Pelodiscus sinensis: one gene and its partner. The protein of the gene in region 2 purifies or fractionates together with the protein of the main gene of each other region. This does not show direct contact. Links are inferred from orthologs where the notes say so. Each region holds a gene or a part of one and is shown on either strand. Other genes may lie near its edges.

The links.
Region 1: the proteins of LIMK2 (region 2) and TTC1 purify together in Homo sapiens (affinity purification with mass spectrometry; 3 studies listed by BioGRID and IntAct, counting the BioPlex papers as one, with this or other methods). This does not show direct contact. The link is inferred for Pelodiscus sinensis from reciprocal best matches to the Homo sapiens genes LIMK2 and TTC1.

Annotation. Positions count from the first base shown.
Region 1 is NC_134727.1:15,204,096-15,212,234, forward strand, and holds the start of TTC1 (tetratricopeptide repeat protein 1), read right to left. Parts: upstream 3,207-8,139; 5' UTR 3,054-3,206; exon of another isoform or gene 2,884-3,053; intron 2,186-2,883; 5' UTR 2,162-2,185; coding exon 1,859-2,161; intron 1-1,858.
Region 2 is NC_134725.1:8,457,876-8,465,820, forward strand, and holds the start of LIMK2 (LIM domain kinase 2), read right to left. Parts: upstream 3,192-7,945; 5' UTR 3,041-3,191; coding exon 3,025-3,040; intron 1-3,024. UniProt on the Homo sapiens protein: Serine/threonine-protein kinase that plays an essential role in the regulation of actin filament dynamics. Acts downstream of several Rho family GTPase signal transduction pathways.

The DNA of each region.
Region 1 (8,139 bases), on a different chromosome or scaffold from region 2:
AAATTTGGGGGTCCTAGCTCTCACTGCTTAGGAATTCTTCAACAAACAGACTCAGAGATGGACAGGTAGGCAGATATTTCTAAATACATAGATAAATAAGAACATAAGAATGCCCATCAGACCAAAGGTCCATCTAGCCCTCGTGTCCAGTTTTTCGACAGTGGCCAATGCCAAGTGCAGGGACATAACATCTAAACAACACAAATTGGGAGGACGTTAAATGAAGAGTCACTAGTATTTTGCACTACTGTAGCACCTTTTGTTAGACAATGTCAAAGTAGATGGCAAATAATAACATTCCCAATGCTCATTCTAGAGATGGAAAAAATGGAAACAAGAAGGGTAAAGTGATTTGCCCAAATCTGGAGAGGAAATCATTTGAGGAACTCCTGAATCCCAACCCTGTTCTCCAGCCACTAGACTTAGCTTCTTCCTACTGGTTAATTTCTATTATTCATTTTTTACTAGAAATTAGGTATTCATTATAGGAACTTTCAAACAGCCTTCAAACTATATTATTAAATTATTTGTACTGTGCCTGGAAGCCTAATAATCAAATTGGATTCCGACCCCTACCACTGTGCTAGGCATTAAAAAAACAAGAACGAGAGTAAAAAATATATCACCATTGTCTCCATCAGAGGTGGGCAAAATACAACTCACTGGCTGCATCTGGCCCACTCAGCTGATTAGCAGGCAGTATATGTTCAGCTGCCCCTCCCTGCATTTTGCTCAGTCCTGTAGCTGAGCTGCTCCCAAGATCCTCCTGCTAGCTGTGCAGAGAAGGAAAAAGAGGAGTGTTGAAGTCAGGGTTTCCCCTGCCTCTGTACCCCATCTCTGCAAAGCAGGGTTTGGGGAGAGGGAAACACACTCCAGTCTGAAGTATGACGAGTGACTGAGAAGCATGTCTGTCTTAAGAGGCAGTGCTCTGTTCCTAAGATTTCTCCACCAGCCAGGTCTCTCTGGGCACATCTACACAGCAGGGCTAAAGCCGAAATATGATACGCTACTTAAGCTACACAACTGACCATCGCTCAAGATGAAATAGTGCCAAAAAGTGAAATAAGCTATCTACACAGCAGGAAGTCTGAGAAAGAGCACTCTTCCTCTGACTTCCCTTACTCCTTGTAAAATAAGAGTTACAGGAGTTGGAACAAGAAGTCCTCCAGCTCACCATTATGTCGAAATAACTGCTTGCAGTGTAGATGCAAACTATGTTATTTCGGAATAATGTCAGTTATTCTGAAATAACGCTGTTGTGTAGATGTACCCACTCACACACAAATACACTCTTTCCATCCCCCAATATTAGGGATGTTAAATTGCAGTTATCTGACTAATCAATTTGTACTGATTACACGATTAGCCAATAAGCACCATTCTGCAGAGCCACAGTGGGGGTAATCATGCTATTTTTTTTTTTTTTGCAGTGTTTCTTTCTACCCAGTCAGTGATTAGAGAATAGTCTTAAACAGCAAAAACAGTGAAACTGCTGTCAAATATACAAAGTAAAATGAAAAAGCAAAACAGTCTTGTAGTTATAATGGGCTTAGTTATTACTTATAGCAAAAAAAGATTAAAAAAATTCACACAGAAAGCAGAAGCAAAATGAAGGACAATGTAGCACTTAAAAAAAAAAGCACACAGAAAGCATTTTTTTTTCAGCTGACATTGTCCCTTTAGGGTATTCTTCATAATACAAAAAAAGTTAAGTGAATTAACTTGCCAGTTTCTTTTTAAAAGCATTAAAAGTAGCATTCATAAATTTAATTTGCACATTGAATGTAAAAAAAGAGAAAATGTTTAGAATTTTAAAAATTGTTAATACATTAAAACAGATAATCTCAAAAAAGGTTACCTGTTTTTCTTCCTCTGGCATGTTTTTTTCCAGTTCTAATAAGTATTCTTCATCTAAATCTGCATGCTTCTCCTGTTCCATATCTGATTCCTTTACCTCAAAGGAGTCCTTACAGTCATGAAAGCACTCCTCTGCTGCTCCAGCCTCTTTGGCAGAAGAATGCCTGTCTCCCTGGTCCAGGTTTCTTTGAAAATGTCCATCTTTGAAACCAACTGTCAAAGGACTGGTGCTCTCTGATGATTTCTGATCAGAAAGCTTTAAGCCACGGAGCAATTCTTCAGGTGGACTGGATTCTTCATTCATTTTGGGATCTCATAAAGGATTAAGCTTTTGAAAATAAAGGAGAAATAATAATCCTCAGTACGTAGAGTACACATTTTCAAAGTACTTCATGAATTACAGTTTACCCTTACACTGCCCATCTCTTGGGTACGTACAGACAAAGAACTGATACATAGCACTGAAATTACTATCACTTGCCCAAAGCAATCCTGTCAACACTTATACACTGAACAACTTTGCTTACAACAGTGCCACTTGCCTCTACTCCCATAGTTAAATTTGTGCATGGGCGGTAAGTGCTCACCACAGTGGGCCCTAGCTCATCACTGCATTGTGACAACTCCCTTGCATACGCAGCAGTTACTCACGCCTCCTCTCTCTCTTCATCACCATCCCTGGATGCCTACCGACCCTGCAGACAGGATCATCACGCCTCACCCAAGCCAGGCTTCCCTACCCATTCTCACACAGATCCACTGATGCAGCAGCCCCACACTTACCCCTGCTCCCAAGCCCCAAACACCCCCACATCAGCATGCCTCTGACCTGCCATCCCCCACAGCCCCTACATCAATTTCCTTCCCAGTCGCCCTCCACTTTCTCCAGGCAATCCCAGAACAGCGTTGACCACGCTCCTCATCCTTGGGCCCCTCAGTCACCCCAGATCAGCACCCCCCCCCACACACACACTTGCCAATACCCCCGACAGCCAGGCACCCCAGATCAGCAGCCCCAACACTTGCCCCAAGTCCAGGTCCCCCGCCCCATGAGCTCAGTCCCCAGGAACGCTGCGAGGTGATGCGGGCAGCGCCCCGTGCCCATACAGCTGGCAGGGAGGGGTACCCCCAGCACAAACCGGCTTCGCTACAACCCCTACTGCCGAGTTCGACTGACGTCCCCTCTAATCACTGACCCTCCGCGCCCATCACTTCCTGCCGCGCCCGGCCAATAGATGTTCACGGGCGGGGCGGGGCTTGCTGGGACGGAAGTCCTGTGACGATACCTGTGACCTAACAATTACTTCCGTGGCAGGGAGGAAGGAGTAAGCGGGAGGGGTTCTTGCTGTCTGAAAGCGGACGAGGAAGAGGCGTAGGGGCCCGTGACGTCACCCAATGTAGCCATCCCAGTTGAGCGCGACTGGGAATTTCCGTCCGGAACGTGTCAGGGCCGCCATCTCGGATTCGCACAGGTGGCGGCCATCTTGTGTTACGGCAAACCGTGTGTTGGCGCGAAGGGCGTGTGCGGTGGTCACGAGTCTCTCTCGTGCCCGCCTGCCTTTGCTGCCACGATCCAACTGCGGGACTCGTGGCCTGCCCTGGCAACCCCCAGCCTTCGCAAAAAGGCAGAACACGCCCCTAGCTCTAGCGACCGCCCAGTGTTAATTCACCTCAGGGCTAGTGTACGTGTCTTTGGGAGGCCCTCAGGGCAAGCGCAAACTTCTGCAGAACCACGTGGCCAGGGAGCGCACTTCTCCGAAAACTAACTGCCTCAGAGCTGCAGCTTTCCAGCACTGACCCTCGCGAGCAGTTAACCCCTGGGGTTGCCAGATGGTTTAAAAAAAACGGACAAAAATGTTTCAAGGAAAAATAAAAGCCACCGGGGAAAATTTGTGGAGGGAGAAGAAGGGAAAAAAAGAGCTGTGTGGCGGTGCTGTCCCTTGGAAACACTGCCTCAGTGTTTCAAAGTGGCAGCACCACACAGACGATCCCTGGATCCAGCACATCATTTCCCCGGAACCCGGGATCACCTAGGGAGTCTCTAGCTGCCTCCGGGTTCTAGGAAATGCTGTGCGGAACTATGGTCAGCTCAGGACTCCTAGGCTCCATGTGGCATTTCAAATTGGCAGCGGGGTCAGCGGGGGACTCTCTGTGCTGTACTGCCACTTTGCAATACACAAGAGCTGCCCCTGGGGACTCTTGTACATTTCAAAGCTGGCATACTGCCTGCAGCCTGGAGTCAGCTGGACTTCCTGCTGGCCCCAGGCTGCACCTGGCATTTCACATTCCTGCTGGGGCACTTGTACATTTCAAAGGAGGAAGTGCCTATTGACTAATTGAGTAGTCGATGGAAATTCTATCAACTAGTAAAATAACCAATAGTTAACATCTCTAGGACAAATGATGAAAAACAGGATCAAGGGGTGCAGGTCAAAGGTTTAAAACAAGGGAGCAGATGGGGACACTGAGCAGAGAACTTCAGACAGTGCCCACTGCTCTTTGAAGCTGTCCAAGGAAACAGTAGACGCCGCCCAGAGGAACTCTACCTGGATTGTGAAACTAGGGAGGAACAGAAGGAGGTCCCACAGTTGCAGAGCACCCCCGCATCCAACATTCTCCTCCTGGTATTATATATAACAGATTTTGCCAGAGGCAAGAGTAGGTTGCTGAGAAGGTCTTGTGACTTTGTGGGGCCATGGATGGGGAGTACGTGAATAAAAAGGTGAGGGGAAAAGTGTAGCCAGAACCTCAGCAAGAGGTCTTGAAGGAGCCAAAAGAGGGGCTGCAACCTGATGCATTCCAGATATGCATGTGCCAGGTTTTCCCTCACACCTCAAACGTGGCAGGCATCTGGGTTGGGGGTGAACTGTGCCAGGTGCATGCCCGTGCTCACAGCTTCAAGGAGAAGCCGCCAACTGATGACTCAGTTGGGCTGTGGGATTAAGGTGGAATAAACATTGGCCCATCTAGGTTCCTCACCCTAAACAAATCTTAGATAGTCCATCCATATGGTGTCGGGGTGGGACACGAGGGTAAGGAAATGTAACGTGTGGATCACAAGCGTGTACAGGTGGTCTCTGGGCGCAGTTCAGAAATAGACTGGTTGCAGATCCTGTAGCTGGCTGGGGATCCAAGGATGGCAAGGTTGGGGTGGGGGGGACACGTAACAGGGACCCGAGAAAAAGGGAGGACGTTTTTGCAGTGAGGGGGGCAGGGCGTACTCTCTCACAGGGCTTGCTGCAGAAAATCGAGAATGGGCTGCAACAAGGTCACCTTCACTTGAATCATGGGCAGGGGGGTTTAAAGGGTGGAAAGCTCCATGCACCAAGCGAGCACACGGGGATCCTCCCAATCCCCCCTGTCGTAGTCCAAGAGATCTCCGACTTTGGTGGTTTCTGCCAGAATCAACCTCAGGTGCACCGAGGGAGACTCCACCACCTGAACGCACAAGGCTGGATTGTGAAGCACAGGCTCCACGAGGAGGTCTGATCCCTCGGTGGCCACAATGAACCTGGTCGCTGCACACAGCTTCCAGGTCTGAACGAGTTCCTGGTAGAACTCTGGTAGCTCTGAGAGGTCTCCCCTGCAGAGACCCAGCGCAGTCCTGGCCAGAAGAACTCCAAGGCTATCCTCTAGAGCCGGGCCAGGACCTTTGGGGCCAGGCTCAGGGTGTTGAGCCAGTGTCAGAATATGGACAGGACTAGTTGGTTCAGCACCAGCACCTACCTCTGCAGGGAGAGACACTGGAGCAGTCCTGTCCATCTCCACAGCCACTCAGCCACCCTGGCCTCCAAACCCTGCCAGTTCTCCTGCGGGGAGAGATGTGTGGCGGATAGAAAAATGCCAAGATAAAGCAGTGGACCCACGCTCCATCTGACGACCTGAAGCATGGGTGGGAGGGAGCCTGCCTGCCACCCATCCCCAACCATTAGGCCAGAGCTCTTGACCCAGTTGACCTGGACGGGGGAGGCCACCAAGTAGACAGCTTGGCAGGACTCCACCTGCACCAGGTCGCCCAGGTCCTAGACCATAAGGAGTACATCATGGGCATACGCTGACAGGATGAGCCGCAGCTCTAATTCTTGGAGCACCAACCCCGTCAACCTGTGGTGGAGGAGTCAGAGGAAGGGCTTGATCGCCATAGCGTACAGCTGGCCCAACACCGGATACCCCTGGCATACTCCCCACCCGAAGCTGACCAGCTCAGTCATGGTCCAGTTGAGCCTGACCAAACACTGCAAGGAGGCGAACAGCACTGGAGAAAGCCCACAAAAGAGGGAAAGGCTGTCAGTCATCCCTGCACACACATTCCCTGAGGCCGTGCCCTCCTCTGTGAGCGGCGACCAGAACAGTCTGCGACCCACAGAAGGGGGATGTCCTGGGTGCAAGGCCATGTATAGGTTCCATAGCATGCCCTGTCTCACAGGGGCCTCGATGTGCCCAAAGGACCATGCTGCCCAATTTCACACCCTCTCCCCCCCACACACACCACAGACAGGCAGGCAAGGGAAGTGTCCGTCCATAGTGGGATCCCCTCATGGGATGCAGAGGAGCCGGGAGCAGCCTGGCCCTCCCTGGGGTCTGCACACATAGCTGTGGCTCGCTGTGCTGTCTGTGGGAGTGACAACTGCCTTGCACGTGCAGGCACGCCTGTGTGTTTTGTGCAGCACTCCTGGGTGTGTTTGGGGTCGTGCCTGTATCCTTGTGGCTAGCCTGCTTCCAACCGGGAGCACCCTCTCTCTCCCCGGGGGGCAGGACGTGTGTGCCCTCCCCTGAGCCTGATATCAGGATCCCAGACGTGTTCAGGGGCTGCCTGTTGTGTCTGCGTGCCACACTCTCCCGCTGCATGTGGTTGCACGTGCACAGACTGCAACACCATGTGCAGCCCGAGCAACACTCACCCCCTGCTCCCTGTGTGCCCGCCTCCTCCACCCTGTGTGTGTGTGACAGCTCACCTGAAGATCCCTCCCAGACATCCAAGGAGGCCTGGAAGACGTCCTGGCTGACAGTGACCAGCTTGAGGAACAGGGTCACAATCTCTGATTCCTGCTCCTCTTCCTCTGGCTGGGGCTGGCCCTGGCCCTCCAGCTCGTCCTCAGGGGCGACCTCTGGGCAGATGACAACTGGGGTTTCCTGCCCTGAGCCCACCATGCTGGGTGGGGAAGCTGTTTCTCCATGCCCTAAGACGTGGTGGAGGTCAGTATAGTAGGGGCAGGTGTGGGGTCTTGCCCCTGAGCATGCACTGCACTTAGTGGCCCTCACATACCCTGACAGAGCTCCTTCACCTCTCTCCGGACCTGCTCCATGGTCCAGGCAGGGTGACCTCACTCCATCAGGGATACGGCCATCATTGAAAAAATCTCGGCGTTCTGCCGCTTGGCTCAGGGATCTTGGAGCGACTCTTCCTCGCCCCACAATTTGAGGAGGGTTGCTATCTCAGACCCGGATCAAGTGGAAGCATTGGTCCCCCTGGGGGGGATCCTGGGACCCCTGCGGCTGCTCCCTGGAAGGTCATGGGGAGCCTCAGGGGGTTTCCGGATCTGTCATGTGTGGCAATCCAGTGGCAAGAGAGAACCGCACGGTGAGGGACCTGCTCTCTGGCTGGCTTCCTGCCACAAGGCTTTTCCAGGGTGCCTGCAGCTTTAAGGGGGGCCACCAGACAGGAACTATAGAGTTCTGATTACCTTGGACGGAGTGGCCACCAAGGCACCTTTTTTTTTCCTGGAGGCCAATTCTTGCTCAAAAACTCCTGTTGCCCATCCACACACACCATTTTGCACAAGAACTCTTGCACAAAAAGGAGTTATTCCTTGTAGAATGAGGAATACCTACACTGGAAAAAACCCTCTGTTCTTTTATTTTACTTGCGCAAAAACATGCTTTTTGTGTGTATTGTAAGATCTATCTCTGGGACCACAGGGTGGTAGACTCAAGCACTCCCCAGCCCCCACTCAGGCAGTGCCCTGGCAGCCAACACCAGTTGCTCCAGGGATGGGAGCTGATGCCTGCATTAGAAAGACAGGAGCTAAGGGACACCTGAAGGTAGTGATGGGGGTTCTGGAGTGGCTTAGAGTATGATCGATAGGATACTTGCTGGGGGAGCTCAGGGTGGTTGGTTCCAGTCCTGTCCTCCACCTTGGGAGAAACCAGACATCCAACATGGGATAAGGGACCCCCCCCCCCCAAGGTAGGGAGGTGGTGTGGGTCCTTGAGTGAACTAGGGGATACAGCATTTGCTGGGGGGCAGCCAATACCAATTGTCCCAGGGATGGAGCTGGCTCC
Region 2 (7,945 bases):
TCCATTTCCAGTAACCCTGATGCATGTGCCAGAGTACAGGGTAATTCCCTGAATGCATGTGTAACTTCCCAAGCACAAGAGGACAGGAAGCAAAACTGTTCAATTTGCCCAAAAATGTAAATAAAATAATCAAACTACTGCCAGGTGAATTAGCTCTAGACTTCCTGTTGGACAAATCAGTCTGTGCATAAGATACTGATTCTTTACATACATCTCCCTCTGTTTAGTATCATAAGCATACAACATACTGTACACAAGAGCCTTTGCCCCAATCAGTTTAAAGGCACAAGTTACTGCACTGCAGTTAACTAACAATGACAGTCATCCAGAGGTAACATACAGGACTTGTCAAATTCACTTAAGTTCTCAGTAATCACTTACCTAGCAAGTGAACATTAAACAGATGTTGCATTGCTGTGGTAATGAATGCAACAACAATTTAGGAGAGCAAAAAGTGAAAAATTCTATTTTCAACTGAAGTGATCACTTGTTGACTAAGGTATGAGGAAACAATAAGGATGAAGGAGACTACAGAAGTATGGTCAGGGTGGTTTATGCCTTAGGCCCTGATCTTACAACAGTATGTAATCAACAAAGTATGCCATTGAACTCAAAATCCCCCAATGAAAAGAAGAATGCCCTGTGATGAATGAGCAAAGGAAATGCCTCATTACTTAAGTGTACCCTTTGCAGATAATAAGACAGAGAGAGCCCTCAACGACAAAGATATTAGACAAAGATGCAGTCAGACCAACTGGGTTTTACCCATGGAAGCTTATGCCCTAATAAATCTGTTAGTCTAAGGTGCTAAGGGGACTTTTTGTTTTTACAGATGCAGACAAACATTGCTGCTACCCCTCACTTTTCAAAGCGAGAAGAGTTTAAAAGCAGCTGTGAGCAACCTGAGGACCACACACAGCTCATTGGGGTTTTGAGTGGCGCCCATGAGACAATTTGTTTACCATTGCTCGCAAATAGGACTGCCAGATTCCTCCAGTTTTAATCTGTTTCATTTTTCCCCTACCAATATAACCTGCATGTAAAGCAAGGGCACATGAAGTGAGGTGCATGCTGATAGTACATAACATTGGCTGAGAGACAAGGATGTTAACATGCATATATTAAAGTAAACATGTAACTGCTGAAAGTTTGAGCAATTACACATGGGGAGGGGGGGGAGAAGGGGACACTTGCTTCCCCAGGAGCTGGTGCAGACAGGGAGCTGGCTTGTACCAGCTCCCGCCTGCTCCTCCAGGCAGCTGCCTCTGTGTCAGAGGCAGCAGTGAGGAGTGGGACAGGGAACCACGCACATTAACCACTGAATATCACCCTCTCAAGCTTGCTGTGTGTGCTGCACAGCCAATGTATCTACAATATGCCTACTAGGCAGGTTGGGAAATTCTGCTGAAAAGTTCACTAAAGTTTCAGAAAACAGTGTTATAAAAGATCAATATTTAAGACTAAGGGGGACCTGTAATAACCAATGAAAGAAACAAGAGGAGATTGAACAGGAAAGTTACATTATCAAGTGAGACATTTACAGTCTTTCAGCTTAAGTAACAGTGCAAATTGAGCTTCAAGTTGATGCCCAGATTCCACTGGCCAGAAAAGGATGTCAGAGGCCGGTGAACATTAAAATATATGCAGTCTGCAAATAGCAGGGTCACTCTGAATTCACATACATATCAACGATGCTGCATGCAGCAGCTAACGGAGCTGCACACTCAGCTTTCAGTTGTGCCTAATAATGACCTAATAATGTGGACTTCTGTGCCCTGCTAGTCTGCAGTCACAGCCTAAATCAGTCTCTCCCCCACCCAAAACAGGGAAGCCTTGGAACTTTACTTCATTTACAAGTTTAGGACCTTCACAAAGGTATGCATAAAGATGTTACCTGGCTAGCGCACTACCATCTACATCCTATACCATCTACATCCTAATGACTTAACAGACCAAACAATGGGTACTTAGAGAAAGTGCAAATTGTTCTTACCAGCTTCATGTAGCATGAACAAGCCTAACTTTTTTCCTCCTTTTTCCTTCTCCCCTCCACCATGCCCTATTTATTTTGGAACTGGACCTTTAATAAACTCCATTCATCTGAAGAAGTGGGCTGTGCCCACAAAGATCTCATGACACCATCTACATATTTTGTTGGTCTTTAAGGTGCTGTAGGACCATACATTGTTTACATTGCAGCACCCCCTTCCCGCTAACAGTATGCCAGAGAAAAAAGCAAGCCTTACAGTCCAGCACTCAAGACAGATAGCATGACTGGCTGCCTCCGCCAAGCCATGAAGGTGGCCCTGGACACGCAGGGAGCACATGAGCAGAAGCTATACAGCTGGTCCCCAAGTTGCAAACGGCCGACTTATGACCGTTCACAGTTACGACCAAAGCTGTTGTAAATGGCGCACCCCAAGTTACAAACACGATCCGCGCTTATGAACAGCGTGGTCACATGTAACTCAATGGGGTCCAACTTACGAACAAACCGAGTTACGACCAATTGCTTGGCCCGTAACTGGTCCCTAGGTCAGGAAGAGGCTGTACCAGGTTCCAGCGAACTGGCTAACCCAGACTGCAGGGTGCAGGGCTTGCCAGTCTCAGGGGAGGGGTTGGTGCCAGACTGCAGGGGGGGAGGGGCAGGGCCGTGCCGGTCCAGGGGAGGGGCTAGCCCCCAGGGTGCAGGAGAGCAAGGCTGTGTCAGTCCCAGAGGAAGGGCGGGACCGGACTGCGGAGGGGCGGGGCGGCGCCGGACTAGAGGAGCGGGCGGGGCGGTCCCTGGAGAGGGGGCGGGGCGGTCCCTGGAGAGGGGGCGGGGCGGCGCCGGACTAGAGGAGGGGGCGGGGCGGTCCCTGGAGAGGGGGCGGGGCCGATGCCCTCGGCCGGGGAGGGGGCTGCAGCCCGGCGCCCCGCGGGTACCAGGGAGCGGCCCCAGCAGGCAGGCGGCCCGGCCCGGCGGCGGAGCCGCGCCCTGCAGGCGGTCGGGGGAAGCGCCCAGACCCGAACTCAGCCCCTCACCTGGCGACCCCGCCATCGCCCCCAGCCGGTCTCCAGCCTTCCGTGACGTCAGCCTCTACGGGGCGCGGGGTGGATCAAATGCACCTGGCCCGAGGCGGGGCCCGCCCTTTCCCTGCCGCGGGCCAATCACAGCCCCGCCCACCCCTGGCAGCGCCGCCTCTTTATGGTCACGGGCCAATCTCCGACCGGCCCATTGATAAGAAACTCACCCCCCCACTCTCCCCGCCACTTCCGCGCCACAGCCCGCCCTCTTCTCGGGAGGGGGCCAATCAGAGCTCAGCTCTGCTCAGTCCCAGCGCCTCCGGAACGCCGCACGTGCGAGAGCAGCTGGCGGCCTGGGGGCGGGGCGTCAGCCAGACGCCGCTGCAAGGGGCCGGGGCTCAAGCTGCCTGCGGTGCCGATGTTTGGCGCCGTCCTGTTCCGCCCTGTTGTTAACCCGGAGGGGTGCGGTGCCTTGACAGGGTTACTCCGCCCCCCAGCCTAGCCTGTTACCCTGCGGGTTTGTTTGTTTTTTAATGTTCCTCTGAAATCTCAGGTCTGCTCGGGCTACTTCTACACTGCAGGCTGCTTGCCCAAGAACTGTTTTACACACGAGGTCTTGTGCAAAGGGTCTTCCACAAGAGCGCATCCACACGGCCATGTGCTTTTGCACAAGGTGTCTTTGCCAGTGTGGACTTCTCTTGTGCAAGAAAGCTCTGATGGCCGTTTTAACCGTAGGGGTTTCTTGTGCAAGAAATTCATGTTGCCTGTCTACACGGCCTTCTTGTGGCAGAGCTCTTGCACAAGAGGGCTTATTCCTCAGGGGAAGAGGAATAACTCTTCTGGAAGAAACCCTGTTTTCTGATGCTGGTCTATAAACTTACTTGTGCAAGAATACGTGTGCAGTGTAGCTGCTCTGCAAGGTTTTGTGCAAGAACAGCTGTTCTTGTGCAAAAAGCCTGCAGTGTATACATAGCCCTAGTGATAGCATAACTCTTTCAACCATGACAGTGGCATGCAGGCAGAACTCCAATCAGGCCATTCACAAGTCCCCCTCCTTGAGGAAATTCACCCCACGTGTAAGAGAGCTTCCTGATTTCCAAAAGGTTAATACTACACGCAGTCCCCGGGTTATGTACAAGATAGGGACTGTAGGTTTGTTCTTAAGTTGAATTTGTATGTAAGTCAGAACTGGTACATAATGTAGGGGAAACTCTAGCCAAACATTTCTCCAGAGCTCAGTTTTATTCTCCCACACCTCACTTCCCTCAGTCCTTTATTCTCAAGCTGAGGTGTCTGCTGAGAAAAGCCACTCCGCGTCTCCCTGGTCTGCTGGGGGGAGGCGCTAGCTTCGCGTCTCCCTGGTCTGCTGGGGGGAAGCGGCTAGTGCGGGGTTGCCTCACCCCATTTTTAAGTAGGGATCCGATGTAAGTCGGATCCATGTAACCCAGGGACTGCCTGTACATTTTTTCAAGACATAAGGAATGAAGTAAAGGAACCTCTGCTTTTTTACTTTCTCTATTCAAAGAGGCATAATTTAATCTTACAGATCATAGAATACTTAGAACTGAAAGGGACCTTGCATCATGTCCAGTCCCCTGGACCAAACACCTAAACCAAGAGTGGGGAACCTAAGGCCCGGGGCTAAAAATGGCCCCCAACGCAAAAAAGGTTCCCTACGCACAACCTCCCCCATTCCTGATAGATAGGCATCTAATCTGCTCTTAAAAATCTCCAGTGATGGAAATTCCACAACCTATGTAGGCAATTTATTTCAGTGCTTAACCAGTTGGAAAGTTTTTCCTAATATCCAACCTAAACCTCACATGCTGCGATTTGAGCCCATTGCTTCTTGTCCTATCCTCAGAGGTTAAGGAGAACATTTTGTCCCCTCCTAGTTGTAACACCCTTTTAGGTATTTGAAAGCTATGTCATGTCCCCTTTCAGTCTTTTCTTTTCCAGACTAAACAAACCAAATTCTTTCAAACTTCCTCCATAGGTCACTAGAAGATTTACCTAGTGTTGTTCAGCTTAACAAACTTTTTGTTTTTTGGAAAATAAACTGAAAATGTCCATGCTTCATTTAAATCAATGCTCTGGGTGGGGCTGGTGTTGAGGGGTTCAGTATGCAATGGGGATGTTAGAAAATGTTTAATAATCATGTAACTGCAACCATTCTTAGTAGTTACATGATTATTCAATGGTCCTTGGGGGCAGTGCCAGCAGCCAGTGCATTCCTGGCTCCACTCCCAGGCATCCCCCCATCATCCCATGCTGCTGCCTCTGGTACAGAGGCAGGATGGCAGGTGGGTGCACCCTGACATCCCAACAGAGGTTCCTCCAGCATCCCATGGATGGGGAAGCAGGCAAGACCTAGTTTTTAAACCAGTACCTGGTCTGGACTGGTTCCCTCTTGCTGCCCCATGTTGCTGCCTCTGTATCAGAAGCAGCAGTGTGAAGCTGCAGGTGGCTCCCCAACAGGCTGGGAGTGAGACAGTGCACAGGTCCAAGTTTTTAATGCAGAGCATGCAGAGGAGGGAGGGAATTTGTGGTTAATCACTACGGTTAACTGATAAGCACTTACTTAAATGGTTATCCATCTAGCCACTAACCTCCCCAGTATGCAGGCTGCCCTGGGGAGAGAGGAATTGTTCAGCCCCCTATCACTCCAGAAGCTTGGGGCCAAGTGAGAAGTACCTCCCCATGGCTGCTGCAGCTCCAGCAGGCATAGCCTGAGGAGGAGTGTATGTCCTCCAGCTTGGACAGGTCCAGGTCGAGAGCCATCTTCCCCTACGCTCTCCAGCAAGAATGAGGTATGCAGCAAACTGCACTTTCCCCTCGCTCCCCAGCAATGTCCCCCTACAAATTAGGGTGGGGGGTAAGGATATTAAGAATGGGTAATACTCTAATCCGTAGGTGATATAAATTGTATTGACTACATGAACCTACCCCTGCTGCGCCTCTGTAGTTTAAATGTAATAGGAGCTGGGCTACCAGAGCTCCCGGCTCTTACTATATTTAAACTGCGGAGCCACAGTGGCCATAGCTCCTGGACATGGCCTGAGCCAGGATTGAGTCAGGATTGCTCAGTCCCAGCTCATGCTGGGTCAAGCAGCCTCTGTCTGTGGGAAGAGAGGGGGTCCTAACTCTGAGGCTTATTGGGTAGTTGGGTTCTTGCTTACATCCCTAGTGGAGCAGAGCGTGGGGGGGTAGGAAGGCTTCAGCCCTCCCCCCACTAAAGGGCACCTGTGGGGTTGACAGTACCTCCACCCTGCACCTCTCACCTCACTGGTGATTCTGTCTCTTTTCTGTGTGGTTTTATGAGAAGCAATCCTATTCCAGGCACAGCCCATTTTCCTGGCACAACTAAACCCTTATCTTGCTTTAAGTTATATGAGGAAGTTGTATACTAAATTTGGTGGTCCTACCTCTTCCTATTTAGTTCTTGAACAAACACACAGACAGAGGGATGGCCAACTCTCTCAGATATACAGTAGATCTTTTCTAGACCTTTAATAATTTTTGTTGTTCTTCTCTGGACCTTCTCCAATTTCTCCACATCCTTCATGAAAGGCAATGCCCAGAATTGGATACAAAGACTTCTCGTGTCTTGCTCACAATACCCCCGTTAATGCATTTCAGAATCATGGTTTGTTTAGCCTAGAAATAGCTGGTATAGATATATATATATATATATATATATATACTAGCACAAAAGCATCTTCAGCTCTAAGCCTAAAATACAGCAGCCTCAAAGACTGTTTCATTGCTATTTATCGGAGACAGCAACAGCTGGTTCCTTCTCTGAGTGAAAAATACATCATGGACATATATCCTACAGTGCAGGTGTACAAACAGCAGATCTGATACTGCTAACACTTTCCACAATATATGGATATAAAATAACTAAATTTTTCTGCCATTATTCACAGTACTGACTACTACAGTGATAATTCCAAGTAACACAGGGCATGGGAACTGCCCCTCCTTACAAAGAGGGAATCCACATAAGCTTAGGTCAATGTAAAACCATTTTTTTATTCTAAATCACTTTCACAACAGTGAAAATTAGTGAACAATAAAGGGTTGCACTATATGTGCCATCTTTCTCTAACTGCAGGCCATGTGCAGTCTGAATACAAGGGAGGAGGAAATGATACAATACAAAATACATACAAAGAAAATAATCAGAAGCATTAACACTTAATCTCATTCTTGGATTGTGAGGAAATTAATGACTAAGTCTTGTCATTGCAGCCGCTTCAGCCTGCACCTCTTCAGCTTCTCAAGAGCAGCCGGCAAACAAAAAATATATAAAAATTTAAGCTTAAAACTTTATATTTCAAAACAAAAATGTTATTCTGGTTTAATACCTATTTTGTTCCTGTTACAGCTGAATTTTTCACTGTCACCTTGAAAGGATTATAGCAGTGTCTCACAATAATAGTAAAAGGGAAGGAAGTACAAAATCCCTTTTATATTAGCAGGTAAAATTTCTCTTTTTGCCAGCAGGTGGGGCTGTCTCTCAGTAAAACATCATGGCAGTGAAAAAAGTTTCATAATGTGTGTTCAGTTGAGGATAAAAATGCATAATTTCAAAAATATCCATTACAGAAGTCAATTAGAAGGTCTGAAGCTTCTGAAGTGCCTTCACTGTTTAAGCAGCATTTTAATTACCTATACTCAGTGGATGGACCCAACCAGACCTTGCATCACTGCAGAAAACAGCTTTGCAAAATCCTGTTTCCTGAGGAAACTTTTGAGGCATGGAAACAAAACCCCTACCAACTTTCCTCATCCCCCCCACCACTCCCTCCCCATACTCATCCACCTCATCACTGATGGATGAACAGTTTCTGTTTAGGCAAGTAGGTTTCACTGCTACTGCTCACAGTTGTCATGCCCAGGCACTTCATACTTGTAGAGGAGAAAAAGTCTAGCT